Diceros bicornis minor: one gene and its partners. The protein of the gene in region 4 interacts with the protein of the main gene of each other region in a pairwise test. Links are inferred from orthologs where the notes say so. Each region holds a gene or a part of one and is shown on either strand. Other genes may lie near its edges. The genes, in order: PDHB; cytochrome b-c1 complex subunit 1, mitochondrial; GMEB1; TRIM63.

Region 1 (7,942 bases), on a different chromosome or scaffold from region 4:
TCTTCAACTCAACTTCATTCCAGTGAGGAGTGTAGCAGCCTTCCTAGAAATGAAACAAAAATCTACCAGACTGATATTTAGAAACGCACAAGTGTATGAGCAATCAGGGCATGACACATCCTTAACTTGAACTCATCCTATAACTTCCTAGTCAAAGCAAAGGGCAATAACCTCTAGATTGAATTTGACCAACATAAACAGAAGGGCTGGATTACAAATAATGTTTAAATGTATACTAAATTCTCTTACCTTGCCTTTCTATTTTGGCTTTTCCAATAGGAACCAGAAAATCTTTTGACTGAGCTTCTGAGGAAAGTTCAAAAGGAACTCCATACATCAATTCATTCTCTAGCATCACCACTGCAAAATATAAACAAAAGTAACTACATGACTAAAAATGTATACACAACATTATTATTCATTTTGTGAAAAGTTTCACTGTGCTGATTAGGAAGCCTTGTATCTATCTATCTTGGCCAGCAGCCTTGAAGATGGTTTAGGTACTGATATTTGTAGTCTGGTCAATCCTAATTTTATCTATTGAGGTTAAACCAGCGTTGTAAGTGTGTAGTAAATGTTTCCTATACCTTACTGGCCCCCTTATAGTCAGAAATAAGAAAAACATTTTTTACTATTTTTATTCTATCTCTACATCATTAACATTTATATGATATGTCTAAGCCTAACTAGAAGACTTTAATGGTTCCTTCCATGCAAAGATTTCACTTTAGTTCTTTTTCTTTTTTAATTCTATTTATTTATTTTTCTTCCCCAAAGCCCCAGTCAATAGTTGTATATCATAGCTGCACATCCTTCTAGTTGCTGTATGTGGGACGCAGCCTCAGCATGGCCGGAGAAATGGTGCGTCTGTGCATGCCCGGGATCCGAATCTGAGCCGCCAGCAGCGGAGCGCGCGCACCCAACTGCTAAGCCACGGGGCCGGCCCTCACTTTAGTTCTTTAATGTTCAAAAGAGACCCAAGGCTTACTCTGCTGACCTGGATTGTTATCCCGAATGGCTGATTTAATAAGTCCTTTTGCATCCTCTGAATTCCAGGGGCTGACCACCTTTAAGCCTGGGCAGTGCCCATACCAGGCAGCAAAGCACTGTGAGTGCTGGGCAGCTACGCCGGCTGAGGCGCCATTGGGCCCCCTGAAGACTATGGGCACAGGCTGAAGGCCCCCTGACATGTAGTAGGTCTTGGCAGCAGAGTTTATAACCTGGTCAATGGCTTGCATAGAAAAATTGAAGGTCATAAATTCACAAATGGGCCGCAATCCAGCCTGTCAAATAAAAAACACAGATGTTAAAAACAGCAATGAAGAGTGGCAAACAACCCCTCCGCTCTTCCAACATTCAAACGTTTTTAAAAGGTCATGTTAAAAGAATTTCTTTGGATCAGATTCATAAAGAGGATTACATACCATAGCTGCCCCTACAGCAATTCCAGCAAAGCCCATCTATAAAGTAAAACACAAACATAAGTGAAAATCCATAGAAATTATAACAGCGTACACTTTAATAGACATGCCCCTCAAAAGTCAGCTTCCTGATGGAAGGCTCACCTCAGATATGGGCGTGTCTATGATCCTCTTATCTCCATATTTCTTCCACAGGCCTCGACTAACCTACAATTAAGCATTGACCCCATTACTTTTAAGTGTATCTGGGGGCAAACGGCCACCTCAGTTTTGTATAGCTTTCCCGTATCTTGGTTACCTTGTATGCCCCATCATACTGGGCAACTTCTTCCCCAAGAAGAAACACCTTCTCATCTCTTTCCAGCTCCTCATCCATACCTTGATTTATAGCCTCACGAACTGTCACCTGTCACAGGTATGGGAAAACAGTCAATAAGCTAAAGGATTATTTAGGATACTATTGAGAGTCTCTCTCTTTATAATCACCTAGGCTGTCCATAGCATACCATATAAAAATTACCACTGGAACAGGTTTCTCTTTAAAAGTTCAAAGAATTCTAAAAGTAACATTTCTATCACACACAGCCAGTCTTTGGTTGGATGTGTTAATGAGAAGTTTACTGAACACTTTTCTTGACGTGCACCTAAGCTTAAAAAATCTGCTTGCTGGCCAGACCAGCTCATAGGCAGTTTCCCAAGTAGAAAGTATAGTGGTTTGTTTTATTTCCACACGTGGTGTACTGTGGGGCAGAGAACTGTCAAGAAAGCATAAATAATACTACATACTGACAACTCACTAGGTGCCAGGCACTGCCAAACACTTTGCCTTCAGGATCTAGGAGTTATTTTACTATACAGGTTGGTAGAATTCTCCAATAAAAAATAAAAGGAGGGGGGAATTCCTCAAAACGTAGAACACAGAATTACAATATGATCTGACAATTCCCGTTCTAGATAATATACCCAAGTAGAGACTCATACTTGCACACCAACGTTCACAGCAGCATTATTCTCAAATCCAAAAAGTGGAAGCAACCAAATGTCCATCAACAGAGGAATGGATAAATAAAATGTGGTATACGCATACAATGGACTATTATTCAGCCTTAAAAAGGAAGGGACTTCTGACACCTGCTATAACATGAATGAACCTTGAAAACACATAAGTGAAATAAGCCAGGTATAAAAGGACTAATGTATGATTCCACTTACAGGAGGTACCTAGAATAGATAAATTCATAGACACACAAAGTACAACAGAGGTTACCAGCGGCTAAGGGGAAATGGGAGTTATTGTTTAGTGGGCACAGTTTCTGTTTGGGATGATGATAAAGTTCTGGAGATGAATGTGATGATGGTTGCACAACATGGTGAACATACTTAGCGCCGCTCAAGATGCACTTTAAAACGGTAAGTTTTATGTTATGTATATTTTGCCACAATAAAAAATTAATAAAAGGGGGTCAGGGAAGAAGCGTAGTCTCGTTTCCTCAGATCGCCCATCTGATTCCAGTGAGCCTCGCGGGGGTGACATGCTGCTGTGATTGGGGACTGGCCATCACAGAGGCAGCACCAGTCCGACGCGGGACTCGGTAGACGCCCAACGCCCGCGGCCACCCTCTGCCCTCGGTGCCCACCCGCCACAGCGCAGGCGCGACCCCGGCCTCCGCCGCGGGACCAGGGGCCCCTCCACGCCCCGGCTAGCGTCCAGGCCAGTTACCTGTAGCGCCGCCGGCGCCGTCCGGTGAAAGCGTCTCCTCAGGAACCCGGAGACCTGGCGGGGAGAGAGAGAGGACGCTCAGAGGGGACGCAAGGTGGGCAGGGATCGCGCAGGGTCCCGGGGCCCGCGCGCCGCTGCCTACCTGCTCCAGGGGTCTCCGCACCAGCCCAGATACCGCCGCCATCTTGACCGTGTCCTCTAGCGGCCGCCGAATGACAACACAGCGGGGCCGCGGGGGCGCCAGGCCCCGCCTCCCCCGCCGGCACCGGCCAATAGCAGGGCGCGACGCCTGCGTGCCCCGCCCATCCCCTCCCCGGGTGAGGGGCCGAGGGGCGGGGCCGAGGTGGCGCTTGGGCTGGGCCTGCCGCACTTGCTCCGGCGACTTCAGTGAACTTTATTGAGAGTGCGCTGCGGCTGACATGCGGACTGCACGCTGGGGACACGTCCCTGGGTGGTGTGGGATGAAGCGCGGGGACCACAAGTCAGACACTAAGGAGCATAACTCGAGGCTAGAGGGCCAGCCTTCTGCGGGCACTGAAATCCTTTGGGCACCAAGTAGCGCTTGCACACACTCCAGTGGCGCGGCACTTACTGCATTATGAGCGATCCTACTTTTCTCTGGACAGCAATGTCTGTTGGTCCCTTAGAATGCGAACAAGAGCTTTCACTGGCGCATTAAGCGCCTACTGCATGCCAGGTATTGTAGGGAAGTGCTTTATTTACAGCTCATTTAATTCTTAGAGGAACCCTCTCAGGTAATTTTGTTATTATTATCTCCATTTCGCAGATGGGTAAACTGAAGCAGATTGGTTAAATGAGCCGGGATTTTAATTTAGGACTGTCTGACTTTTCCCATTGCTTTCTGAGGCAGAAGTTGGGGTCCCGCCTGGGAGGAGGTTACAACAACTTGCATTTAGAGAGGACCGTATGAAGCCAAATACTTGACTAGGGGCAGCATCTGGAAGCTTCCTCTCATTGGTCTCCGTTCGACCCTTGGGGGTCAGGCGGGACCACTGGGGACTCCCTCAGTCCTCACTTATCTCCAAGACATTCCAGACAAAAACCTTCTGTGGGCTGCATGCTGCTGGTCTGCAACCTCAGAGTCTGGGTTGTATCTAAGGGCTCCAGGTGCCACAAGGAAGTGACTAGATCTGCTTGGTGAGGGAGAATGAGGTGGAGGATGAGGGCAAAAGCAGGGACACCCCAGGGAGTGTTAGGCAGAGAGAGAGCTGGACTAGGGGGCCGTTTCAGGGTGAAGAGGAAGGGACAGATTTGAGATCTATTTGGGACTAGAATCAGTAGGATTGCTGTGAGGGAAGGGAAGAGTTGGGGAAGATTTCGGGTTTTTTGTTGTTGTTGGGTGGATGGGGGAGGGGTGGAGCCTGGGACCAGGTGGGAGGTTAAGAGTCTATTCTGAACAAGCTGAGTTTAGATGACTGGGCCATACCCAGGTTGGATAGAGGAGTCTGGAGCTTGAGGCTAGGTAGGGCTAGAAATATAAATTTGGGGACAGCTGCATAGAGATGGCCTTTAATCTCTGGGCCTCTGCTTCATCATCTGTAAAATGGAGAGATAGTCTCTAAGGTATGGAGTCAAGACCTTCCGTGTCTCCCTCACCTGGTGCCACCATCTAGTCCCTTCAGTCCTTGGCAGGAAACCTCAGCACTTCCCCACAGCCCCAGCATCCCTGAGAAACCCCTGAATTTGAGATGTCAGCCGTCAGGGAATCCTGGTGAAAAATAAATGAAAATCAATAGGACATATTGGAGTATATGAAGAAGCCATTTGATTTAAAACTAATTTGACTTGACTTTGTTTTTCCAAAGTGCCTGATGTGGCCTGTTGAGCATGCATTGTACATCTGCTTTAAATATTTATAATTTCCCAAAGATAAGAATGATGCCATTAAAGATAGGGATGTAGCTTCGCCCCACATTGGCATTTCCTTAAGGATAAGCATCTCTTCCTAGAAACTAAGGATTAATTACCAATCTGTTATGCTCACCTCGTGACCATTGACCTGCTGACCACTGACCTGCTGTGCCAGCTAAGCATCTTGTGACAGTAGTAAAAGAGATATTCCTATCATATGTGATGTATGCTGTTTGTTCCAAGGCAGTATATAACCACTCTGTACACTCCATTTCTTAGGTTTGCTTCCTTCCTTGGGGAAGGAAGCTCCCTGGGTTATAGTTCTCAGACCAGGCTGGTAATAAATTCACCCCCAATTTTGATTTATAGATTGATTATGGATTATTTGTGTGGACACTGGATTCTGCTTAGAATGAAAATGTGAGTCAGCTCTCCCACCACCCAGCACTGCAAGACTTCGGGATTAAAATTACAAAGCAAAAGGAGATCTCGAAGTGAAGGAAGAATGACCCAAAGAGAAGCCAGAATCTGGACTGTTTTGTCTAGACAAAGGAGAGTGTTCTGGGGCCATATTTATACAGAGATCCAAAATCGCCAGGAACACTCAGTCTGTGCAGCTAGTCTGGCCAGCTCAGTCAGGAAGACAGTGCAACTCCACAGGACTCAGCTGGCCTCAGCTGAAAATCTTCTTTTGAAATGATGGCTGTGGGCATTTCAAATACATTAGGTATATTCATTGGTACATGGGCTTTCCTTTCAAACTCTATAAATGGCCAGTTTGGAAAAGCTAGGCACGAATTTCCCTTAAGTGTAGAAGACACAAAAGATAAAAGTGTGAATTTTAAATCCATAATCATTTCAAAAAGTCTACATTCATATGCTCACTAGAGTTTACAGAAAGGGATTGGAAAGTATATATTGGCCAATCAGGCCATTTCTCTCTTGGAATGAAATCTTTCCAAAGTTATAGGAACATTTGTCCTCAAGTCACTTTGGTTTGTCAGTTGTCAGAAAGTCCTTTGTCCAGTTTTCGATATCTATGGACATGACCAACTTTTTTTGTCATTGCAAACAAGGTTTATTAAAGGGGGCTTTTCACTCCTTCTACCTTCTTAGGTGTAACTTAAATACAGTAAAATGCACATTTCCGTCACCCCAGAAAGTTCCCTCATGTCTCCTCCCGATCATTCCCCACACATCACCCCACAGGCAATCACAGATCTGATTTCCATCATCGTATTTTCCTTTGCCTGTTTTAGAACTTGAAATAAATGGAGTTGGACGGTGTATACCCTTTTGTATCTGGCTGCGTTAGCTCAGCAAAATGTGTTTGAGATTCCTCCTTGTTTTTTTTTTTATAATTTTATTTATTTATTTTTTCCCCCAAAGCCCCAGTAGATAGTTGTATGTCATAGTTGCACATCCTTCTAGTTGCTGCATGTGGGACGCGGCCTCAGCATGGCCGGAGAAGCGGTGCGTTGGTGCGCGCCCGGGATCTGAACCCCGGCCACCAGCAGCGGAGCACGCGCACTTAACCGCTAAGCCACGGGGCCCGCCCCTCGTTGTTGTTAAGTATCAATAGTTTACTCCTATTTTTTTCTTCTGATTTTTTCTTTTGTAAGACTTTAAAACTCACGAGAAGTTGCAAAAATAGTACAAAGAATTTCCATGCACCCTTCACCCAGATTTGCCAAATGATAATATCTTTTATAACCATACACATTGTCAAAACCCAGAAACTGACACTGGTACAATACTATTAACTTGGATAGAGACTTTATTCAGCTTTCACCAGTTTTTATATGCATTCTTTTGTGTGTGTATGTGTATAGTACTATAGAATTTTATCACGTGTACAGATTCATGTAACCACTACCACAATCAGAATACAAAATTTTTCCATCACCAGAAAGAACTCCTCGTGTTTCCTCAAAGTCACACCCTCCCCCACCCCTAACTCCTGGCAATCACTGATCTGTTCTCAATCACTATAATTTGTTATTTCAAGAGTGTTTTATACATGGAATCATACAATATGTAACTCGTTGAGATTAGCTATTGTCACTCAGCCTAATGCCCTTGATCCATTCAAGTGTTTGCGTGTATCAACATTTCTTTCTTTTTTATGGCTTACTAGTTGAATGGCTATATCACTTTACTCATTCATTCATTGAAGGACATTTGGGTTGTATCTAGTTTTAAGCTATTAATAAAGCTGCCATGAACATTGGTTTGCGGGGTTTTGTGTGAGCATAAGTTTAACATTTCTTCAGGTAAATACCCAGCAGTACAACTGTATGTTAGGTGTGTGTTTAACCTTTAAGAAATTGCCAAGCTGTTTTTCCAGGGTGGCTCTACCATTTTATGTTACCTCCACAAATGTATCAGATATCCAGTTGCTCTGGATCCTTGCCAGAACCTGATATTATCAATATTTTTCATTTTAGCCATTCTAATAGATGTGTGGTAGTATCCCTCATGACTTTAATTTATATTTCCCTAATGTTTAAGGATATTGAACATCTTTTCATGTGTTTACTTGCCATCCATCTTTGGTGAAGTGTCTGTTCAAGTCTTTTGCTCATATACTAATTAGATTGTTTTTTATTGTGGTAAAATATGCAAACATAAAATTTACCGTTTTAACCATTTTTAAGTGTACAGTTCAGTGGCATTAGATACATTCACACTGTTGTTCAACCACCACCACCATCCATCTCCAGAACTTTTTTCATTTTCCCAAAAGGAAACTCTATATCCCACTTCTGAGTAAAATATCTTTTAGAATTTTTGCATATTTCTTTCCCATATATCCATATGCACTTATGTTTTCTATTTCATTTTTAATTTAAAAAATGTTTTCAAATAGGAAATTTATCCTGTTGTGGGAAAAAAATTCAAGTAGTACAGAAAGAAATAAAGTAATCGC
Region 2 (8,410 bases), on a different chromosome or scaffold from region 4:
CGCCACTGGGCCAGCCCCTTATAATTTTCTTAATATCCTTCTGGTGTGTTGTGAAATACACACCACACCACTCACTCAACATGGTCACATGGATCTAGTCTTTTAATTTACTATTTGTTCACAACTAATTTAAAATTTTCATATCTACTTTCTTAAGAGATGTGGACATACATACCCTATGTCATAAATTCTTACATAAACGTCTATTTCACATCTAACATCTTGGAAAGGAAGGTGCACTTTACAATCCATGGTATCCTCTGATTATAACTGACAACATTCTCTGGCACTAGCACACAGTGATGCTCCTGACAATCTAGAGCATCTTAAGAGTCCATGGAACACAGCATTCTCTACCAAGCTTTCTTAACAGGCTTTGGGTCGGTTTATACAGGTGCCACATAACAAGGAAGCTGCCCATCACCTTTTGCTGTATTCAGTAACAACTTATATCATAGAACGTTATTTGTTCCTGGAAAACTGAAAGCAGTTACCAATAAAACCACTTAGCCATGGAGTTTGGGGTGGGAAGGAGGAGGATTACTTCTTGAGAATCTTCTTACCTATTCATATATCTAGCCAAGATTTCTATCCTTGAGTCAATTTTTAAGATTTTTTTTTTTCGGAAGATCATCCACTGCAATGGAATCTTCAAATGTACTTTTTCCGCAATGCATTCCTGGTCTAGCCAGAAGATTATGACTTTGGGCTGTGAGGCAGGCAGTCACCTAATGTCTCTGAACCCCATTTTCCTCGTTGTAAAATGGAAACAGGATCACTTCTCTCATCTAGGCTGCTTAAGAAAAAGCTGGAAAAGAACCTGGCCTCCTGGTTCACAGGCAACATATGCTAAATGAGTGCTGGCTATAGTGAGGACTGCCCCCAAGAAGTCAAAGCGTAGGTGGTGTCGGCATTGGGGTAGAAGATCAATCCAGTGGTGAGTGAGCAGGAGTCTGACCCAAACCAGAGGACTCGAGCCCAAGGTCACAGCCCGACCTGGGAAAAGACGCCTGGCCCAATATGGAGGCGTCCTCCCGACAGCGGCCCCCACTCACCGTGCAGGTAGGCTGGGAGGACTGCTCCGAGGCCACTCGCAGCCCGCTGTCCAGCAGGCTGACCTGCGTCTCTGGCACGCTCTGGAGGGCCTGGGCGAAGGTGGCGGTGCCCCGGAAGGCAGGAGACCTCAGCAGGGCGGGCTGCTAGAAACGGGCGGCCGCGAATGAGGACTGAGTTGGGAGATCGCTCCTCAGCTGCCATGCCCACAGTGGGATCCCCGTCCCCGCCCCCGGGCCAGCCGCGAGACTCCCAGCCCCGCCCTGGACCGTGACCTTCCCACGGCCCTGACCCCGCGACCTCCTCGATCTTGACCCGCTGCAACTAACAGCCCGCTCCCCGTCCGCGCTCCGTAGCCCTGCGCTCTCGTTGCCACCTCACCGAGCGGCGGGTGCACAGCAGCACTCGCGTCGCGGAGCAGGCCGCCCGGCAAACCACGGAAGCCGCCATCTTCAAGCTCCAGTCGGCGTTGGGCCGCGCCACGCATGCGTAGAGTAGACGCGGTGGCGCCCCAGGCGCAGGCGCAGTTACGCAGCCTTGGCGCTCGGCCGCCCCCGGGGGGGAATCCGGGATATTTACTCCGGGCTGCTTGCTGGCTCTGTCGGCGCGTCCGCCGGTACGTACGTGCGTCAGTCCGTCTACCTCTCTCTTCGTCGTTCTACGCGAGTCCGTCCGCAGTCTAGTCCTCTTCCCCTTTCACCTATGGGAGGCAGAGTTGGAGATGTTTCTCACGAACCGCGGGCGCTCCAAATCCACTGCGTGTCCGCGGATCACGGCCCCGGAGCAAAAGCATCTACGTGGAATCCTGGGACTACGAGGCAGCTGCTGAAAGTCACGATTCTCTTTTAAAAAATGAAGTAAATTCAGACGGTTGACATGGAAGGAACTTAACGATATATTGCTAAGAAAAAAGGAAGAACTTAGAGACCAATTTGTGAAAAGGATTCCTTGTTTGGAAAACACACACACACACACACACACACACACACACACACACAACAAAACGACGTGCCTCTTCAGATAGACTACATAGAAAGAAATCCGGAGGAACTCACTCTAAGCTTTCAGCCAGGTGACTTCCGGAAAATGGGTGCAGAGGAAGGAAGAGAAAGCTACCATTTTTACCTTCCTGTATTATTTTAATACAACTTTTTTTTTTTTTTTTTTTTTTTTTTTTTTGGTGAGGAACATTAGTCCTGAGCTAACATCTGTTGTCAATCCTCTTCTTTTTTACTGAGGAAGACTGGCCCTGGGCTAACATCCGTGCCCATCTTCCTCCACTTTATGTGGGATGCTGCCACAGCATGGCCTGACAAGCGGTGTGTCAGTGCGTGCCCAGGATCCGAACCAGGGCTGCCAGCAGTGGAGCACGCACACTTAACCACTACACCACAGGGCCAGCCCCAGAACAGTTTTGTATTTACAGAAAAATTGAGCAGATAGTACAGAGTTTCCTATATATACCGCCATACACACGTGCACAGCTTCCCCTATTATTAACATCTTACATTATTATAGTACATTTGTTACAATTAATGAAATAATATTGGTACATTATTATTAAAGTCCATAGTTTATTCAGATTCCCTTAGTTTTTACCTGATGTCCTTTTTCTGTTCTAGGATCCCATCTAGGATATCACATTACATTTCATTGTCATGTCTCCTTAGGCTTCTCTGGCCTGTGACACAGCCTCCTACAGTGACCACCGCATTCTGTACCATCCTTCAAGCAGAGCTCCCCCAGAGAGCTCACTATGTGCAGTTCCTCTCCTCCCATTCTCTCCCAAACCCTCTCCATTCCAGTCCCCACTTCACTCCTCCAAAACCACACCTGTCAATGTAATCAGTGAGCTCCATGTTGCTAAATCCAATGGCCAATGCACAGTCTCATTTAAGGTGATTGGCCACTTCTTCCTCCTCAGAGCCTCATCCCTTTTCCGCCTCCAGGTTCCCATGCTATTCCCTTCTTTGTCCTACCTCCCTGGACTCTCCTTCTTAGCAATTCTGTTGGTTCCTCCTCACCTCCTGAGTTTTACACAGTGAGTGCCCAGGGCTCAGTCCTGGCACCTCTTCCCTTCCTGATCAAAACTTACTCCCTGGTCATCTCACCCAGCCTTATGGCTTCATTGCTGTCTATATATACAATGACTCCTATATTCCCACCATTTACTCACCATCTCTCCTGGAGGGCCATCAGACATCTGAGTTAAGCATTGGAGCTGAACTTTTCACTTTCCCTTCCAAACTTGTTCCTCCCATAATTATCTTCATCTCAGTAAATGACACTTCCGTTAACCCAGTTGCTCAGGCTAAATATCTAGGAGCCCTCTTTGACTCCTCACTTTCAAAATCCACACCCAATCCTTTAGCAAATTCTGTTCCAAATAATTTCTCAATCCAGTGACCTAGCTCCCCTTCCCCACCCCCACTGCTACCCCGGGATGAGAAGGGAAGGCCAGTGAGACAACCAGGAAGTGAGATGTTGCAAATGCCCAGGGAAGGATGTGTTTCAAGAGATTGGTCAAAAATGGAAATGTTACTAAAAGGTCAAGTACAAGTAGTGGCCATTGCAACGATTTGGCAAGAGTCTTCGGTGACTCATTGATCTTCTGGAATTTACTTGGTATATGGAGTGAGGTGAGGTCAAAATATCCTTTTCCCTCCTAAATTGCAAACTGAATTTTGGGACAGCATTTCTTGACCAGGCCTCCTTTCTCTATCCATCTCTGAGACTCCCTTTATTACTCCCTGAGATTCTCACACCTGTAACCAGGTCCATGCAGACTGCCTGAGAGGGCTCTGACACTCACCTTACTCTTCTCACTCAGTATTTGTTTGATATACTCACCATTTTTTTCTTCTGGATTAAAAAAAAAATTTTTTTTTGAGGAAGATTAGCCCTGCACTAACATCTGTTGCCAATTTTCCTCTTTTTCTTTTTTCTCCCCAAAGCCCCAGTACTAGTTGTGTATCACAGTTATAGAGTCGTAGCTCTTCTATATGGGATGCCACCTCAGCATGGCTTAATGAGCGGTGAGTAGGTCCACACCTAGGATCCGAACAAGCAAACCCCGGGCCACCGAAGCGGAATGCGTGAACTTAACCGCTACGCCACCAGGCCAGCCCCTGGATTTTTTTATTTTTATGTTATTTCTTTAATTTTAGCTTTAACTTGTGCTACCATATACATAAAATTTAGCATCTATAACTGTATAGTTAATAGTTATCAGTGGCATTAACTACATTCAAAATGTTGTGCAACCATCACCACTATTTCTAAAACTTTTTTGTCACCCAAAACAGAAACTCTGTACCATTAAGCAATAACTCACCATTTTTCCCCCTTCCTCCTTCCCCTGGTAACCTCGATTCTATTTTCTGTCTTTATGAACTTGCCTATTCTAGATATTTCACATAAGTGGGATCGTACGATATTTGTTGTTAAAAAGACAACAGGCCCAAAATAGAGTCACTATGCTAAGCCCCATGTTACCAGACCAAGACAACTTAATTAAGTTAAGAAATGGAATCTTAAACCAGTCAATCAGGAATTGCCTGATCAGCACTAGTTAGTCCATCTGCCTGATAGACCCCTGCCATCCCCTACAGGAAAGTAATTTTGCAATAACCAACCCACTTTTTTGTCTAATATAACCTCCTTGTTCCTGCTCCCTTCTGCCTATAAAGGTCTTTCATTTTGTGCAGCTCCTTGGAGCTCCTTTCTATCTGCTAGATTGGATGCTGCTCAATTTGAATTGATTTTGCTCAAATAACCTCAAAATTTTTAATATGCCTCGGTTTATCTTTTAACGTTGTCCTTTTATGTTTGGCTTATTTCACTTAGCATACTGTCATTTATCCATTCATCTGTTGATGGACACTTGGGCTGTTACTACCTTTTGTCTATTGTAAATAATGCTGCAGTGAACACTGGCATACAAGTATCTGTTTGAGAGCCTGCTTTCAATTCTTTTGGTATATACCTGGGAGGGGTATTGCTGGATCACATGGTAATTCTATGTTTAGTTTTTTGAGGAACTGCTAAACTGTTTTCCATAGTGGCTGTATTGTTTTACATTCCCACCAGCAACGCACAAGGGGTCTAATTTCTCTACATCCACACCAATATTTGTTCTCTTCCATTTTTTTTCTTATAATAGCCATCTTAATGGGGGTGATGTGATATCTCATTGTGGTTTTGATTTGTATTTCTTCAATGACTAGTAATGTTGAGCATCTTTTCGTGTATTTATCGGCCATCTGTATATCTCCTTTAGAGAAATGTCTATTCAAATCCTTTGTCCATTTTTGAATTGTGTTGTTTTGTTGTTGTTGAGTTGTAGGAGTTCTTTATATATGCTGGATATTAATCCCTTATTAGATATATGATTTACAAATATTTTATCTCATTTTGTGGACTGTCTTTTTACTCTCTTGATAGTATCCTTTGACGCACAAAAGGTTTTATTTTGATGAAGTCCAATTTATCTATTTTTTCTTTTATTGCCTGTTCTTTTGGTGTCATACTTAAGAAATCATTGCCTTCTCCAAGGTTATGAAGATTTTCATCTATGTTTTCCTCTAAGAGTTTTAACTCTTAGATTTAATCTTTTAACTCTTAAATTTAATCCTTGGTACTTTTTAGTTAACTTTGTATATGATGTAAGGTAAGGGTCCAACTTCATTTTTTTGCATGTGGATATCCAGTTTTCCCAGCACCATTTATTGAAAAAACTGTCTTTTCCCCATTAAACAGTCTTGGCACCGTTGTTGAAAACCAATTTACCATACGTGTGCAGGTTTATTTCTGGTCTCTCTATTCTATTCCATTGGTCTATATGTCTATCCTTATAGCAATACCACACTGTACTTTTTTTTTTCTTGTGAGGAGACCAGCCCTGTGCTAACATCTGCCAATCCTCCTCTTTTTCTGCTGAGGAAGACTGGCCCTGGGCTAACATCCGTGCCCATCTTCCTCCACTTTATATGGGACGCCACCACAGCATGGCTTGCCAAGCAGTGTGTCGGTGAACGCCCGGGATCTGAACCGGCAAACCCGGGGCCGCCACAGCAGAGCACACGTGCTTAACAGCTTGCGCCACCAGGCCGGCCTACCACACTGTATTGATTATAGTACCTCTGTGGTATGTTTTGGAAATCAGGAAGTATGAGTTCTCCAACTTTGTTCTTCTTTAAGATTATTTTGGCTATTCAGGGTCCCTTGAGATTCCATATATTTTAAGATGGGTTTTTCTATTTCTCTAAAAAAACACCGTTGGGGTTTTGATAGGGATTGCATTGAATCTGTAGACCACCCTGTGTAGTATTGTCATCTTAACAGTCTTAAGTTCTCCAATCCAAGAACATGGAATGTCTTTCTACTTATTTATGTCTTCTTTAATTTCTTTTGGCAATGTTTTGTGGTTTTCAGCATACAAGTCTTTTGCCTCTTTGCTTAAATTTAATCCTAAGTATTTTATCCTTTTTGACACTGTTATTCATGATTTTTTTAAAATATTCCCTTTTCAGATTGTTCATTGTAAGTGCATAGAAATACAGTTGATTTTTATATGGATTTTATATTCTTCAACTTTGCTGAATTCATTTATTAGCTCTAACAATTTTGGAGTTTTCTACACATACCATCATGTCATCAATGAACAGAGATAATTTTACTTTTTCCTTTCCAATTTGGATGTCTTTTCTTTTTTCTTTCTTGCATAATTGCTCTGGCGAGAACTTCCACTACTATGTTGAATAGTAGTGGTGAAAGTGGGCATCCTCATCTTCTTCCTGGTATTAGAGAAAAGGCTTTCAGTCTTTCACCATTGAGTATGATGTTAGCTGTGGGTTTTTCATATATGGCCTTTATCATGTTGAGGAAGTTTCCTTCCATTCCTAGTTTACTGAGTGTTTTTTATTAAGAAAGGGTGTCGAATTTTGTCAAATGCTTTTTCTGCATCAACTGAGGTTATCATATGCTTTTTTCCCCCTTCATTCTATTAATGTGGTGTAGTGCATTGATTGATTTCCATATGTTGAACCATCCTTGCATTTTGGGAATAAATCCCACTTGCATCCCTCTTAATATGCTGCTGAATTTGATTTCCTAATATTTTGTTGAAGATATTTGCATATATATTAATAATATAGATAGTAGTTTTCTTTTCGTGCAGTGTCTTTGTCTGGCTTTGGTGCCAGAGCAATGCTGGCCTCATAGAATAAATTAAGAAGTGTTCCCTCCTCTTCAATTTTCTGGAAGAGTTTGAGAAGAATTGGTGTAAATTCTTCTTTAAATGTTAACATAGATTTATAATTATTGTTTTATGCATTTGCCTTTTAAATCATATAGGAAAAAGAGAGAAGTTACAAACCAAACTTAAAGGGCATTAATTCTGGCTTTTATGGTTACCTAGGAAATTACCTTTACTAGTGTTCTTTGCTTTTCATACGGCTTTGAGTTGTTGTCTAGTGTCCTTTTATTTAAGCCTGAAGGACTCCCTGTAGCATTTCTTGTAGGATAGATCTACTGGTAATGAACCCTCTCAGCTTTTGTTTATCTGGAACTGTCTTTATTTCTCCTTCATTCTTGAAGGATAGTTTTGCTGGATATAGAATTCTTGGTTGATGGGGGGGGTTTTGTTCAAGACTTTAAATATGTCATCCCACTGCCTTCTGGCTTCCATGGTTTCTGAGTAGAAATCATATGTTAATCTTAGTTAGAATCCCTTGTACATGAGGAGTCACTTGTCTCTGTCTTTGAGTTTCAACAATTTAATTATAATGTGTTTCTGTGTAGATCTCTGAGTTTATCTTACTTGGAGTTCATCGAGATTCTTGGATGTGTATATTCATATCTTACATCAGATTTGGGGAGATTTGGGGCATTATTTATTCAAATATTTTTTTCTGCTCCTTTCTCTTTCTTCTCCTTGTGGAACTCCCATGATGCATACCTTGTTCTGTTTGATAGTATTCCACAGGTCCATCAGGATCTGTTTATTTTTCTTTATTCTTTTTCTTTCTCTCCTCAGACAGGATAATTTCAATTGTCTTACCTTCAAATTCACTGATCCTTTCTTCTGCCTGCTCCAATCTGCTGTTGAACACTTCTAGTGAGTTTTTCATTTCAGATATTATACTCTTCAGCTCCAGAATTTATTTTTGGACCCATTTAAAATTTTCTCCCTCTTTATTGATCTTCTAATTGCATTCAGACATTGTTTTCCTGATTTACTTTAGTTCTTTGTCTGTGGTTTCCTTTCACTAATAATTCCAATGCCTGGGCTTACTTAGGGATAATTTCTGTCAAATTGTTTTTTTTTCTTTTTTCTGTGAATGGGCCATACTTTCCT
Region 3 (7,671 bases), about 2.0 Mb from region 4:
TCCAGGCGCAGACCTATACCACTTGTCAGCCATGCTGTGCCGGCTACCCACATACAAAATGGAGGAAGACTGGCACAGATGTTAGCTCAGGGTGAATCTTCCTCAAGCAAAAAGAGGAAGATTGGCAACAGATGTTAGTTCAGGCCAGATCTTCCTCAGCAAAAAAAAAGGGATATGATGAAGCATACAAATGCCATCAATCCTAGAATAATTGAACCAATAGATATCTTCAAAGCTTGAACCACAAAAATGTAGGGTGAATTAAAATTATAATCACAGCTAACATTTGTTGGACATTCATTTATTGTCTGTTACTATTACATATTTAATTAATTTAAAAGATGTAATACTTTACCAGGTAACAAACTTACGGAATTTATTATTCCAAAAGTGGAATTTATTATTCCAAAAAGGTCGTTTAAATTTTTAAAAATTAATAGCTTAGGTAACTTAATGGGTTAGAGAAGCAGAATTAGAAAGATGCTTCCAGTTTCAACCTTCTACCCTAAGGTTGAGTTCTCTCTACAACACTCTGAATAAGTGGTTGACTAACTACTTGATTAATACTTTCCTCAATAGGAACTCATATTTTACTCCTTACCCCTCCCACACCTTGGAACCCAAGAGGAATGTTCTGGCTGCTTCTCTAACCTTCTGAGAGTATATCAGAGAAGATAATTATAATCATCCACAACATGTCTCTCAGTGTCAGTCAGAGACACAGGTCTGATCCAACATCGCAATTCTTACATTCTTTAGAGGAGCAAGTTTAGGTTGAATATCTCTTATTACCCTAAATACCATATTCCTAGCAAGTAACCTGAAACCAGCTCTACAGACTACAGTGGCTAATTGCAAGGTCATCTCTTTGAGCTGAGTGTAAACTGAAAAGTAGCTCTTGTTTATAGCAACAAAAACTCCTAATGCAAGATGAGTGAATTGATCCTTTGGGTATTTCATGGAAGGGGCCTTGGAGAATTCATTGTGGAATCACACAACACTTTCTATAATTCTAGGGGAACACACATAAAGGAATTATGTCAAATTTATGTGAAAAGCAAAAATTATTTTGTAGTTATTTTCAAAGACAAAAAAGAGACCTTGAAAGTAAGTGCATGACTACTCACGTAAGCTATTGGAAAACTAAACAATGACATCTGACCTACTCTGGATTAAATTTACTTTTTGTGTCCTGAAAAACCAACATTTAAAACATGGCAAGATGTAAGCACAAGTGTCACATGATCACAGGGACATCAGAGTTGGTTGCTGAAAAGGAGTAATAAAAATACCAGATATCCTGAAATTTTCTAACCCCAAAAATGTATTTATTCCACACTGTTTGTAACTTTTGTAGACTGTTTTGTAGTCTATTCTTAAGAAACTTAAGAAATAAAGTTAAAACTTTATTATTACTTGAGACCAAGACTCCTTGATTTTTTTTCCTTCTTTATTCCTTCTCATATATTTAGTAGGTGATTCAGAATGCTACCAGATGTAATGAAGCCAACAAGAAGGCTACACAGGACCACTGTGAGGGAAACAGAGCAAATGAAGTTCAGGGTAAGTCACATGTTGCAGAACACTATGTAAGTGTTTGGGGAAGCAATGGAATAAAAGGGTTCTTTGAAGGGTCATCCCACTACAGTCTAAGACCCACTACAGCATAAGACCAAAAGAGGGACCAAACTAGCCCAACTTAGTTAAGTACAAATTAACTATTCCATATATGTTGCTGAGGTAAATACAAGTGGTTGGGTTTTTTTTTGTTTTGTGTGTGCGTCTGTGAGCAAGATCAGCCCTGAGCTAACAACATCCATGCCAATCCTCCTTTTTTTTCCCTTTTTCTCCCCAAAGCCCCAGTAGATAGTTGTATGTCATAGCTGCACATCCTTCTAGTTGCTGTATGTGGGACGCCACCTCAGCATGGCTGGAGAAGCGGTGGGTCAGTGCACGCCTGGGATCCGAACCCAGGCCACCAGTAGCAGAGCGCGCACTTAACTGCTAAGCCACGGGGCGGGCCCCCAAGTGGTTGCTGACTAAAGAAAATGTCATCAAGTCAGTAGACATTAAATATGCATAATTCATAAAGAGCCCACAAATTAGGGAAGACAGTCCAAACATTTAATGAAAAAGTCCCCCAAAAGCACTTTGGTAACCATTAGCAGAGGCAAGGGGGGAGAAAAGAATCCCTCTGTGAGGCTAGAATTATCTGGTCGTCCCTTTCTCCAATCCTCCAGGTTAAGCAGGAAAACTCCACTTCTTGGTCCTGGTAAACAGACACCAATCCAGGCCCCTTTTGGGTCTGCCAGGAAGTGGTTTTGCGATCTCTCTCATCTTGAGAGGAGAGCTGAGGCCTCCTCCTGCTCCTTGGATAGCCAAGCCTTCCCCTGATCCCTGGGTCAAGGCTTGACAAGCCTTGTCTGGTGGACCACTCTCCAGGACCCTCAAGTAAGATTCTGCCCTCACCTCTCCTGCCCCTCCATTAGGAGGCAAGTTCAGAAAGTAAGCGTACTCTAAGCTTCTTCCTCTCAATTATCTTCTCTAGGGTCCTCAAAAACCTGGGTTCCCCCACCCCCTGACATACCAGATGACCCCGTTCTCTACCTATCAAATCTCCCTCTCATGGCTACTTCAGGGGGCGCTGAGGTGTCTTCTTCCCGGCCCCTCATGACGGGAAGGCAGGGGCTGCTCGCTTTCCCTGGGAGCTCTTCTTCCTTGTACCCAGACCTGTCACCACGCCCGCCTTCGGAAAAACATCTGTCTCTCTCCACGGACTGAAGGGCCGAGGCCTCTAACGCGCCCCTCAGGTGAAGCCCGGCCCCTCCTTTCCTCAGCAAAACCCACTCTCGGCTCTTGCGCGCCCGCCAAGGCTCCGAGGGGCTCCTCTCCGCGGCCACCCAGGCTCCCCTCACCTTTCGCCCCCCTCCCCCCGCGCGCCACCCAGGCCTCTCCTCAGCCCCTCAGCGAAGGGCCTGGTGCTCCCCGGACCCCGCCTCTGGGGATACCCCAGGCTCCCCGGACCCCTCGCCGGGGTCCTGGACGTCCGGCCTCAGTCCGGAGGCGCTCCGGCCCCTCCTAGCCCCTCGGCCGAGGACTTCCGGGCCCCTCGGTCCAGGGGCGCAGGGGCCCCCCCAGTGCCGGGCTCCCGGGCCCCCGCGGCTCTCGGCCAGCAGCCGAGCCCGAGCGGCGCGGCCAGCCGCGCTGGGGGCGGCCCGGCTGCTCGGGCGGACCCAGCGGCAGCGTCCCCCCACCCCCCCGCGGCGCCGCGACGTCCGCTCGCTCCCCGGCGGCGGCGGCGGCACGCACAGGGCGTGGGGAGGCGCCCGCGGAGGCAGCAGCCCCCCCGCCCCCTGCGCGCCCGCCCGCCCTCGCCGGCCGCCGCGCGGCCCCCGCGCCCGCCCCCCCCGCCCCCACCCCACCCCGCGCCCGCGCCCGCGCGCCCACCCCTCCCCCTCCTCACCGTCTCCGTCGGGCGGGCGGGCGGCGAGCGGCCAGGGCGGGCGGGCCACGGAGCATGCGCAGAGGCCGCCACGGCCGCTACCGCCACCGCCGCCGCCAGGCCCGGCTTCAAGACTTCCGGCCGCCGCCGGCGAGCTGGCGCCTTAAAGGGGACGCGTCCCTATTGCCGGTCCCGCGGAGGATGAACCTCAGCCGGAGGGAATTGAGTGAGCCTTTCGCTGAGCAGGGGTCTCCCGCTCTGGAAAGTCAGTGTTGGGAAGGACGCTAGGGACTCCAATAACTCTCCTTCTCCCGCTTCATGTATGAGGAAAATGAGGCCTAAATTAAAGATTCACCTCATCCACAAATGGGGGCAAAGGCAGGTCTCTCGACTCCACTGGAGGACTCTGCTCCTCTTACCTCCCCAAATCCTGTTTTATGAAGCTTACATCTTGTCAGACCTTCAGAAGTTATGACCCAACTATCAATTTGGAATCAAAAGATCTGGCTGAGTATAGTCAGTAACTGGTCACGAGTCCCTGAGCAAGCTGCTTACATTCTCTCACCCATGCACGTTTGCCAAGCATTTCCTGGTGAGGTTTTGGGTTCAAGTCTTTACTTCTTTGGGGGAGTTATTTAACCGCTCTAGGCCTCGATTTCGCCTAAGGGGTAAGGTTGTTGTGAGTGTTAAAAGAAGTGATACATGAAAAGTGCTTAGGAAAATTCCTGGGGCCAGTAATGGTAATTAGCAAAGACTAAGACCTTTCTATATGGCCAGGCCTGGGGGAAGATGCTTTTGTCCCATATAATCCTCGAAGGAACTCTACTAAGTAGCTTCTTTTCACTTCTTTTTTCACTTCTTTTCACTTTTTTTCACATTAAAAAAAAAAAGCAGGAGGGCCAGAGAAGTTAACTAATTCCTCAAGGTCACAAAACCTGTAAATGGTATAGCCAGGATTTAAACTAAGGCCATTCTTTCTCCAGAGTCCATGGTTATACCCACCCACTAAGATGGTCGCTGTCCTTATTAAGAAGAAATGAGGTGGTGGTATTTGGGCACTTTCTTCGGAGGGGGAAGGAGAATTGCTTCCCCATCTTGCCTCCTCCTGTGAGTCATATCTTTGCTATCTATCCCCTCCCTCCTGAAGAGGTGACAGGAAGTTTTACAAGATCTTGATTCGGGCTGGCCCTGTGGCTTAGCGGTTGAGTGCGCACACTCCACTGCTGGGGGCCCGGGTTCGGATCCTGGGTGCGCACTGATGCACCACTTCTCGGGCCATGCTGAGGCTGCATCCTGCATACAGTAACTAGAAGGATGTGCAACTATGACATACAACTATCTACTGGAGCTTTGGGGGAAAATAAATAGATTAAATTATTAAAAAAAAAAAGATCTTGATTCAAGATCAAGAGGCAGATCAAGAGACAGATGAGGCAGCCCAGGAGTAAACAAAAGAACTGAATTTGGGGGGATCAGACAACCTGGGTTCTAGGCTTGGCTTTAGCAGCTCTGGGATCTTGGCCAAGTTATACCTCCCTTAATCTTTGATTTCCGCATCTGTAAAACAGAAATGATTTTCCCGCTGTGCCCACCTCTCAGGGCTGTTTCCAGGATCAAATAAGGAGACTTAGTACCCATGTTAGTATCTGTTCTTATGATTAAGGACTTACACATTAGCAGATGATTCTGAATATAATGGCTGGTCATGACTGGACTCTTGACCCATGTGAACTATTCCATAGTGGGATCATCTGTGTCTTTTGATTATGCATCAAACACTCATTGAGCATTTACCAAAAACCTATCCCTGCCTTCCAGAAGCTCTTGGTCCACCTTCAGAGACAGAATTGTAAACATACAGGACAGGACAGTGCGACAGGTGTTATCCTAGAGATAGAAACAAACCACTGAAAAGTGCAAAGGACTCTCCCTGGAGAGTTCCTGAAAGACTTCACAGAGGAGGGGATGTTTGAGCCTGGTCTCAAGGATGAATAGGAGTTCATCAAAGGGAAAAGTGGGGAAGAGCATTCCAAAAAGTACAACATGTCCAAAGACAAAGAAGTAAGAAATGATAGGAGATGGGGCTGAAGAGGGAGGCTGGAACCAGAAGGTTGTCAAGGAGTAAGGAGCTATCCTGCAGGGGGTGGGGATCCAAGGTGGGGTTTAAGTCCTCTCCAACTGCACTGCTAACACCCAGCGCCGGCCCACAGACTAGCCTGGACCACTGCAGTAATTTCTCAATACTCAGTAACCCTATCCACCCCACCCCCAAATGCTATCCACCCTAGGCACCTAGTGGGAGTAATCTTTTAAAGAGATAAAGTCTGGGCGGGCGCTGTGGTTTAGTGGTTAAGTGTGCGCACTCCGCTGCTGGCGGCCCGGGTTCGGATCCCGGGCGCACACTGACGCACCGCTTCTCCGGCCATGCTGAGGCCGCGTCCCACATACAGCAACTAGAAGGATGTGCAGCTATGACATACAACTATCTACTGGGGCTTTGGGGGAAAAAAATAAATAAATAAAAATTAAAGAGATAAAGTCAAATGTGACTTCCCTGTTAAAAACTCTTCAGTAGCCTCCCAATGCACTTATAATTTTTTTATTATTATTTTTTTCCCCCAAAGCCCCAGTAGATAGTTGTATGTCATAGCTGCACATCCTTCTAGTTGCTGTATATGGGACGCGGCCTCAGCATGGCCGGAGAAGCGGTGCGTCAGTACACGCCGGGATCGAACCCGGGCCGCCAGCAGCGGAGTGCGCGCTTAACCACTAAGCCACGGGGCCAGCCCTCCCAATGCACTTAGAGTTAAACCCAGACACCTCCCCACCCCACTCCCCCACCAGGGCCACCATGCATGATCTCCTTCCTGCCTTTTCTCTTCTCTGCCCCTCTCTCATTGTGCTCCAGACACCCTGGGCTCCTTTTTGTGCCCAGGGCCTTGTGAACCCTGCTCAGGGCCTTGTCACTGGCTCTTCCCTCTATCTGGATAGCTCCTTCCTCAGGTCCTGAGAAGCTCATTCTCATCTTTCACTCTTCACAGGCCTTCCCTGGCTCCCAACCTAAAGAAGGGTCCCCAGCCACAATTTGCTCTATCATTGCTGCCCCCAGTTCCATCAGGGCACCTGTCATGTTCATTTGGGGGACTATTTCAGGGCAAAGACCACATCTGAGAGAACTCTCCTCCCCATGCCCTAGTTCCTTTCTCCCAATCCCCCTGCTTACCTTCATAGCAATCCCCACAATTTGAAATCCCCTAGATTTGTTTATTTACCTATTTTGTGTCAATCTTTATCATTTACCCCACATAGTATTTGGAACAGAGTTTGGTGTATGGCAAATGTTTGTTGATCGAATGAATGACCAGAAAAATTATAGAATATGGACTGGAAAGGAGAAGGACTGGGAAAAGGAAACTAGTGTGTGGGGGAGACCGCTATGATGATGTGAGCTGATGTGCTCCAGATGCAGTTCCCAATTGGAACCAGCAGACGTTAGTGACCAACCAGATGTGGGGAGTGAGGGAGACAAAGGGACAAGGATGACCCAGTGAAGGAACAAAGCAGGAAGAGTTGGTTGGGGATTGAGGGAAAGTAGAAATGACGAGTCCGTTTGGACTTGTTGAGTCTGAGGTGCTTAAGGGACATCCAAATGAAGGTGTTCCAAAGGAGGTTGGGTTGACTTGTCCCAGGCAAGAGGCCAGGGCTGGAATTTGAGACCTGTCATGTAGATGGGACCACAGAGGCCAAGAGGGGATGAGGTCAGCTAACAGGAGTGTGCAGAGAGGGAGGGGGCTAGGGGCTCGAACCTGGGCAACATTAAGCCTTGAGAAACCTGCAGGAACCGACCAGAAGTGTTTGGAAAGGTTAGGTCCCTGGACAGAGGGAAGAGAGGAAGCCCAGAGAGCAGGCAGGGGGCTTCCAGAAGGACGAGATGGCACCAACGATGTCAGATACTGCAGAGAGCTCTGGCAGGAACAAAGGAGAAGCCCGTGGTTTTGGCAACTAAGAGGTCATTGCTGATCCTTCCAGGGTAGAGTCTCCTCCGAGGTTGGGAAGGAAGATTATAGTGGATCAAGTAGTAAATGGGAGGAGAAATGGCGGAAACAGTGAGTGGAGACAATTCTTTAAAATTTTTTGATAGAAAGGAGGAACTAAGACATAAGGCAATAAGATGATTATTTTAACAGGAGAGAAAGTCATGTGAAGGCTTTTTAAAATTTTTTTCACTT
Region 4 (7,686 bases):
GAGTTGACTGTAATGAATGTGTAGGCCCTGGCACAGAGCAGACCCTCAATAGAGGGGAGCTATCACTGTCATTCAACTATGTGGAAAAGCCTCGAAGGGCAAACACAACGTGTTCTTCCTAGGTCAACACTGGGTGGGCTAATATTTTCGTACAATATTGATTTTATTATTATTATAATGATCAACAATATATTTGCATTTTTGTAGTGTTGAACTCCAGCAACATGAGAAGCAATATCGGTTAGGAATGTTCACCATGGAGTCAGTCAGATAGGCTCCCTCTCAGTTTCACCACTTGCTGCTGAGTGGCCTTGGACAAGCCTCTGACATTCTCTGAGCCTCCACTTCCTCACTGTAAAATGAGGGCAAGAATTCCTTATAGAATTATTTTAAGAATTAAATAGGGATAATGCATGGAAAATACTTAGTACAGTGGCTACACACAGTAGGTGCTCAATAAATATTTGCTGTTTTTAACATTTCCCATCAAAATCCTATTTGATAATCACAATAACAAATCTTACTGTCCCATTCTTCAGACAGGGGAAATGAAGGCCCAAAGACTTACTCAAGATCCTACAATGCATTAGTAACAGAGTCAGACCAGCAAACACCCTTCCCCAGGTCAGGGCTCTTTCTCACTAGGACTGGTCTGCCATCTTTCTTTGGGCAGGACGCCACCTGCAGGCCGGCACTTGGTGGAGGTTTTGGACCATAAAGGCTGTGAGGTCAGCAGCCTGGAAGTCTTGTTAGGATGTCCTGATTTGTAAAGATCTCCCCGGTAGCTGTGTCTCTCTCCGTTTGAGAGAGACACAGGGGACTGCACAATGTCCCCCACTCACAAATCCCGCCTGAGGCTGAGCTGCTATTTTACAAACAGGGAGACTCAGAGCTAAATCGACTGGGTCCATCCCCAGCAATTCCGCTTCCCAACTGGGAGACCTCGGGTAACTGACTTCACCTCTTTGAGCCTCAGCCTCCCCACTGGTGAAATGGGGATGATAAAAGTCATGCCTGACCCACAGGACTGTTGTGAAGGAGCAGGAGGAAGCATTCCCGGTGCCCCAGGCTGTGCGTCCGGGCACATGGGACGATACCTGTTGCTATCACTATAGAGAAACTGGCTGTGTTCTCGCTGGGCACTTCTCTGCTTATCAGGGCCACTTAGCTAGCCCCAGTCCTCTCTCTCCCTCTCGTATCTCATCTTCGCCCCAGTTTCTGTCTCAGTATCTCCCAAGAGGGCAGCCTAACATCTGGGCCCTTTCCCATTCACTGAGTGACACAGAGAGCCAGGGTTGGAGGACAGAGATGAGCCTCTGTTCCTGCCTGAGGAAGAGGGGATGGCTCTCTGGACTGGCTAGTGTATCTTGCCCAACTACGGGACTGGATCCCAAGCAGATGAAGGAGGAAGGAGCCTGGGAGGGCTGGGCAGAGAACAGTGGGGAGAGAGGATGGGCTCCCAGCAGCCAGGCAGACTGACCTGGAACACTCCTGCTTGTAGATGTCAATGATGTTCTCCACCAGCAGATTCCTCTGCAGACCGTACACTCCGTGACGATCCATGATCACCTCATGGCGGCAGGAGGGGCAGCGGAAACGGCCTCCAGACACGGACACCGAGCCACCCCGGTTGGTCCAGTAGGGATTTGCAGCCTGCGGGTGGCAAGGGCAGACATGAGGCCTGGGGTCCCTCCTCAGCCCCTCCCCTTTCTAATCTCTGATTGTCTTTCCCTCTGCTTACCCCCAAACATTCTTTTTTTTTTGCTGGGAAAGATTCACTCTGAGCTAACATCTGTTGCCAGTCTTCCTCTCTATTTTTGTTTTTTTCCTCCCCAAAGCCCCAGTACACAGTTGTATATCCTAGTTGTGAGTCCTTCTAGTTCTTCTATGTGAGCCACCACCACAGCATGGCTATTGACAGACAAGTGGTGTGGTTCCACGCCTGGGAACCTAACCAGGGCTGCCGAAGTGGAGCGCACTGAACTTTAACCACTAGGCCATCAGGGCAGGCTCCTCAACCATTCTTGTCACACCATGTGACTTGGAGCTCGCCAGCCCACTTACAAAGGGAGCACCTGAGGAGCAACTAAGCAGTCAACAGGTTTGGGAGTCAGCAGACCTAGGTTTAAGTCACGGTTCTTCTCTGAATGACTTTGGGCAAGCAACCTCATGTCTCCAAGCCTCAGTTTGCCCATTCACGAAATGGGCACTATAATTAGAGCCAGCTCCTAGGGCTGCCACTTTAAAGATAAAGAAGTGAGAGAACATTTTGTAAAGTGCTTCTGGGGAAACTTGAGTCCTGCCTCCAGCCAGGACCTCCACCCCCATTCCTTTCTTAGGGAGATGGAGATTCTCCTGCCCCCATATTATAGAGAACAGCCTTGAAGGGGAAGACGTCTCTACTGCCCAGGGCCTCCCAGCCACCCTCCTCCTAAAGCTTTGGGGCCCTGCCACCACGGAGCTGGCTCCGGCCCCAGGGGTCTGGTTTCTCTCTCGTCTCTGCCTGCCTCTCCCTCTTATCACTCGAGGCATTTGACTCCTATTGGAGAGTCAACTGCGGTGTTCAGGATGCGGGTGGGGGAGCTGCGGGCAGGGCGGGGAGGGGAAACATGCGTCATGGAGAAGGAATGGGGCAGCCAGAGCCACCTCCCTAGCCCCCCTCAGCCAGGCCAGAGGCCTCAGCAGGGGGTCACTTAGGAGAAGAAAAAACCAACCCCAGTTTGGAAGAGTCCTGGGCTAGGAGAGAAGGGCTTTCCTTATGGGAAAACTGAAGAGCCACCTGGGGCCCCGCAACTAGGCTCCGCCCCGCACTGACCTGAAAGATGTCATTGGCACACTTCCGGCAGAGGTTGTGCTGACACGGCAAGATGACCACCGGCTTGGTAAACATCTCCAGGCAGATGGGACAGATCAGCTGCTTCTCCAGGTTCTCCATGGGGCTCCCATCCTGGATCAGGCTTGACTTATAATCCATATTGTCGGAAGGTGTGGCCCCACCTGGATGCCTCCTCCACCGGCCTCACTCGAAGCAGACCTGGGGTCTTGCCTGTGTCACAAAACACCCACCCGGAGCCTCTTTGTCTTCTTCTCCTGGCGCCCGAATTCTGTCTTGGGCTGAGGCCCCTCTGATATTTATAGCTGGACCCCGGTCACATGAGCCCCAGGAGGGGACCAGCTGAGCATTCCGATGCCAAGCGGCTGGCGGGGCTTGAGTTTCTTCCAGGCCTGAAAGACCGGCCCTCTCAAATCACATGTAGCGATGAGCAATCCCTGTTCCCCTGGGATGGGGGTCGTAAACAAGAACAGCCTGTTTGTGGGCAGGGTTGGGGGAGGGGCACCCAAAGTTTCCTCCAGAAATTAGTTTCCTCCCACAACAGGCTGGTAAGCCAGGGACGGGACCCAGCGAGTGGGCCACTGGGATTTGTGGGGTTAACAGCCAGTGTCCCCTCACTAACCTAAATCAGGTCCCCCCCTTGTGGAGTCCTAGGCAGCCCCCAAGATGAAGGGTCAGGGCAGCCCCTTTCTCTGAGCCCATCCCTGAGCACAGCATGTTGCTGGAGACCTTGAAACTCCCACCCCAGTTAACCCATCCCTCCATTCCTTGGCCACTAATTGTACTTTAATGCTGAAGGGCTCCCTTAAGACATAGTCCAGTCCCCTCGTTGTATAGATTTTGACGCTGAGGTTTAGAAGGAAAGGAGCTTATTCAAAGTCACTTAGAAAGTAAGTGGCAAAGCCAGGAACCTTATTCATTCATCAAACATTTTTCTGAGTACTGACTATACATCAGGCGCCAAAGTGACAGATAAATGAGTACTCCTTTTCCCTGCCCTGAGATTCCTACAGTGTAGGGAGAGAGACAGACAGAAATAACTATTATGTAATGCCTACCTAGACACTTAGAAGTTATCCAGATGCTCTCCTTTGTCCTCTGTACAAATTTTTTTTTTTTTTTGTGAGGAAGATCAGCCCTGAGCTAACATCTGTGCCAATCCTCCTCTTTTTGCTGAGGAAGACTGGCCCTGGGCTAACATCTGTGCCTATCTTCCTCCACTTTATGTGGGACGCGGCCTCAGCATGGCCTGACAAGTGGTGCATCTGTGCACGCCTGGGACCCGAACCCCGGCCGCCAGCAGCGGAGCTCGCGCACTTAACCGCTATGCCAGGGGCCGGCCCCCCTCTGTACAAATTTAAATTTTTCTCCATGTCCTTCTGGACATCTTCCATGTTGGCAAGTAGAAGTCATTGGAGCAGTTCCAATGGCTGTTTTTAAGGTGAATCTCATGCAAAGGGATATTGGGGCCATCACTATAAGGCACTGGGGTGAGAGTGGGAGCAGTGACATCAGGCCTCAGGATGAGCTTGAGAGGCTGTAGAACATACAGGAGGAGGGTCCAAGATCTCATGAAAGAGGAGTGGCAAGAGACTAGGTTTGATCCCCTCAGCCTGGAGAAGAGTTGACGGTTGGAGAAGACTTAGTGAGTAGCGAGGGCAGAGGAGCCAACTTTGGGAAGGAGAGGAAATGGGAGGGAGAAGGGGAAGAGGGGGACCCAGTCAGAGAAAGAGGTGGAGGCCTAGAGGACAAGGGGCTGGGGAATTTCAAGGAGAGGGTGGTCCCCCCAAAATGTGAATGGCTAGTTTTGCTGAGCACCTACCATGTGCCAGGCACTGTGCCAAGCACTTCGTGTGCATTGTTTTATTTCACCATCTCAACAGCCAACAACGTAAGAACTATTATATCCCCATGCTACGGATGAGGAACCTCAGGCACAGAGAGTGAAATAACTATGTATGAGGTCACACAGCTTGCAAGACGTGGCTCTAGGACATTAACCCAGATATGCTTGACTCAGGAGCCCAAGCTCCTCATGTCTCTATTGAACTGTAGGTCAACACTGCCAGGCCAGCGAGGAGTTGGAGGAGGATGAGGGTTAAAAAGAAGCCATCCCTTCTTCCTTGCTCACACGACCTCAGTTTTGTTCAGGAATCTGGCAGAACTGTTCTCCAGGAAGGCAGCCCTCTCCACTGACACAGGAGACAAAGGCTTACACCTATCATGGTAATCCTGTCCTCCTTTGCCTAAGTGACACAGTTGTGGCCAAGGAGATGCAAGGGCTGGTGGAGGAGGGCTACAGAGAAAAGATTTTCTCCCTGATAAAAAAAGAAATGCAAGAAGAAAGCTTCATTCTTGCCCGTGAATGGGGTTGTGAGAGAGGGGGCAGTTACCTTGCAACCAAGAGTGGACAAGTCTGAGGAAGAAATCAACCTCTGAGAATGGCAAAGAGGAACCATAGAAAGCACCTGGGTCATTGACACCATCATTATGCTGCCCGTTTACCCACCTCTGGAACTGCCTGCCTCTTGACTATTTAAGATGTGAGATAATACATGTCATGATAGTGCAATTATTCTGTTACTTGCAGCAGAGAGCACTCCATATATGTTCATGATTCCAACTCCTATATGCCAACGATCCTCAGTCTCTAATTTCAGTTCAGACCTCTCTCTCCCCTAAGCTAAAGATTTGTTGGAAATCTCTATTGGGATGTTCCAATGGCACCCCAAACTCGTCATACCCCAAACAGAACACACCATCTTCCCCCGCACCTAGCTCCTCCTTCTGTTTTCTTTGTCTCATGTCTCAGTGAACAGCAGTACCATTCACCCATTTGCACAGACCAGAAAGCTGAGAGCCATCCTTGGGCTCCCCCTTCCGTCCATTGCACACTCAGTCAATCTCAGCATTAAGCACGGGTCCATCTTTCCATCTCACTTGTCATCTTACCATCATCTGTTTGTGAGTCTGATTCTCCCTCTGGACTTTGAAGACTTTGAGGTCAAAGACTGTCTCTATTCATCTCTGTACCCCCAGTATCTGACACATAGTAGGCGCTTAACACATATTTCTTAGATGAGTGAACGAGCGAATGAGTGAGTTAAATAGGGAGCAGCAGGTCACTGTCAGACTTGGGGAAGATTAACGTCCTTGAGCAAGTTATTTTTTGGCTGAGACAGTGCAGCCAGTGAAGAAAAAGTACTGGAAGATTGGGGTTGGGGGATTGATGGAGTAAACTCTAAAGCCTTGGGAAGGAGAAGGACACTCCAACCTTTGAGCTGGAAGGATAGGAGAGAGGAAAGGATGGAGGCGACAATCAGGGGTGTCGGGGGTGGAGAGAAAGGTGCTCATACTGATGACCTTGGTCAAGAGAGAGTTGAGGTCAACTTCTGAGACTGAGGCAGGGGGAGGGTAGCGTGAGCGGGTGGGGGAAAAAGTTTTGACCAGCCAGTGTGAAACACAGGAGGAAGTGCCCTACAGAGGGGTGGAAGGGCTGTCTGGGGGCAGAAGAGCCTCGTTGACGTTTCCCAGCGGGGATTTGCCATTTGTGAGGAGCCATTCGCATGCTTCTGTTGACTTTCTCCAGCCACACTTGGCAGGCCAGGTGCAAAAGCCAAGCAAACGGACAGTGGGATCGACTCCAGCCTGGCATTGGCAAGGCTAGCACTGCTGAAAGTCAAGGGATGAGGGAGGGAAATTCCCACATGGGCCGTGCTGGCCATCAAAACTTGTCTTGTCATTTAATCCTCACAACAGTCCTGCAAGGAAGATATCATAATCTTTGTTTTTCCCCAGAGGAAATGAGATTCAGAGAGTTAACTGGCTTGGCCAAAGTCACACAGCCACAAGCGGCAGAGCTGAGCTGGGGTTCATATCCAACGTAGCCCGAGTCCTAAACCTGTGCTCTTCTCACTGAAGCATTTATTGAGTGCTTATTGCATGCCAGACATTGTGCTAAGCCCTTTCCATCCATCTTCTTGTTCAGTCCTCAAAATAACTCAGTGAGGCATAGGTCATGATTTTCCCTCTTTCGCAGCCGACCTAACAGGCTCAGAGAGGTTAAGTCACTTGGCCAAAGTCCCCCAGCCAATGAGTGGCAGAGCCAGCATCAGAACGAAGAAGTTATAAACCAGTATCATTACCGGTTATTGAAACATACTGTAAAGCTAAGGACCCAGAGATAAAGAGACAAACGTGGAATACCACTGGTGCATGTGAGCCCAGAGCTTTTAACTACCACATTTTACTGCTTCCCTCTCCACACATCTTCTCATTTATTTATTTTTACTGTTTATTTATGAAAATTTCAAACATACAAAAGTAGAGAGAATAGTATAATGAACTCATGTGACCAAACCCTCTTCAATTTTTATCAACATTTTACTAATCTTATGTTTTTTTCTTTTTCTTTTTTTTTTTTTTGGTGAAGAAGATCAGCCCTGAGCTAACATCTGTGCTAATCCTCCTCTTTTTGCTGAGGAAGACTGGCTCTGAGCTAACATCTATTGCCAATCCTCCTCCTTTTTTTCCCCCAAAGCCCCAGTAGACAGTTGTATGTCATAGTTGCACATCCTTTTAGTTGCTGTATGTGGGACGCGGCCTCAGCATGGCTGAAGAAGCGGTGCGTCAGTGCGCGCCCGGGATCCGAACCCAGGCTGCCAGTAGTGGAGTGCACGCACTTAACCACTAAGCCACGGGGCCGGCCCACCAATCTTATTTCATCTATACCTCCACACACTTCCTTTTTCTGGAATATTTTAAAGCCAATCTTGGGGCTGGCCCTGTGGCCAAGTGGTTAAGTTTGGTGCACTCTGCTTTGACAGCCTGGGTTCAGATCCCAGGCACCGACC

Evidence for each region.
Region 1: the proteins of TRIM63 (region 4) and PDHB interact in a two-hybrid assay, tested with the Homo sapiens proteins (2 studies listed by BioGRID). The link is inferred for Diceros bicornis minor from reciprocal best matches to the Homo sapiens genes TRIM63 and PDHB.
Region 2: the proteins of TRIM63 (region 4) and cytochrome b-c1 complex subunit 1, mitochondrial interact in a two-hybrid assay, tested with the Homo sapiens proteins (2 studies listed by BioGRID and IntAct). The link is inferred for Diceros bicornis minor from reciprocal best matches to the Homo sapiens genes TRIM63 and UQCRC1.
Region 3: the proteins of TRIM63 (region 4) and GMEB1 interact in a two-hybrid assay, tested with the Homo sapiens proteins (2 studies listed by BioGRID and IntAct). The link is inferred for Diceros bicornis minor from reciprocal best matches to the Homo sapiens genes TRIM63 and GMEB1.

The regions. Positions count from the first base shown.
Region 1 is NC_080741.1:58,309,410-58,317,351, forward strand, and holds the start of PDHB (pyruvate dehydrogenase E1 component subunit beta, mitochondrial), read right to left. Parts: upstream 3,355-7,942; 5' UTR 3,326-3,354; coding exon 3,284-3,325; intron 3,196-3,283; coding exon 3,142-3,195; intron 1,828-3,141; coding exon 1,720-1,827; intron 1,629-1,719; coding exon 1,566-1,628; intron 1,461-1,565; coding exon 1,425-1,460; intron 1,284-1,424; coding exon 998-1,283; intron 361-997; coding exon 250-360; intron 1-249. UniProt on the Homo sapiens protein: The pyruvate dehydrogenase complex catalyzes the overall conversion of pyruvate to acetyl-CoA and CO(2), and thereby links the glycolytic pathway to the tricarboxylic cycle.
Region 2 is NC_080741.1:49,938,973-49,947,382, forward strand, and holds the start of cytochrome b-c1 complex subunit 1, mitochondrial, read right to left. Parts: upstream 3,356-8,410; 5' UTR 3,230-3,355; intron 1,754-3,229; 5' UTR 1,504-1,753; coding exon 1,435-1,503; intron 1,200-1,434; coding exon 1,056-1,199; intron 1-1,055. UniProt on the Homo sapiens protein: Component of the ubiquinol-cytochrome c oxidoreductase, a multisubunit transmembrane complex that is part of the mitochondrial electron transport chain which drives oxidative phosphorylation.
Region 3 is NC_080752.1:43,990,830-43,998,500, reverse strand, and holds the start of GMEB1 (glucocorticoid modulatory element-binding protein 1), read right to left. Parts: upstream 3,506-7,671; 5' UTR 3,464-3,505; intron 2,889-3,463; exon of another isoform or gene 2,608-2,888; intron 1-2,607. UniProt on the Homo sapiens protein: Trans-acting factor that binds to glucocorticoid modulatory elements (GME) present in the TAT (tyrosine aminotransferase) promoter and increases sensitivity to low concentrations of glucocorticoids. Also binds to the transferrin receptor promoter.
Region 4 is NC_080752.1:42,020,510-42,028,195, forward strand, and holds the start of TRIM63 (E3 ubiquitin-protein ligase TRIM63), read right to left. Parts: upstream 3,266-7,686; 5' UTR 2,975-3,265; coding exon 2,816-2,974; intron 1,654-2,815; coding exon 1,481-1,653; intron 1-1,480. UniProt on the Homo sapiens protein: E3 ubiquitin ligase. Mediates the ubiquitination and subsequent proteasomal degradation of CKM, GMEB1 and HIBADH.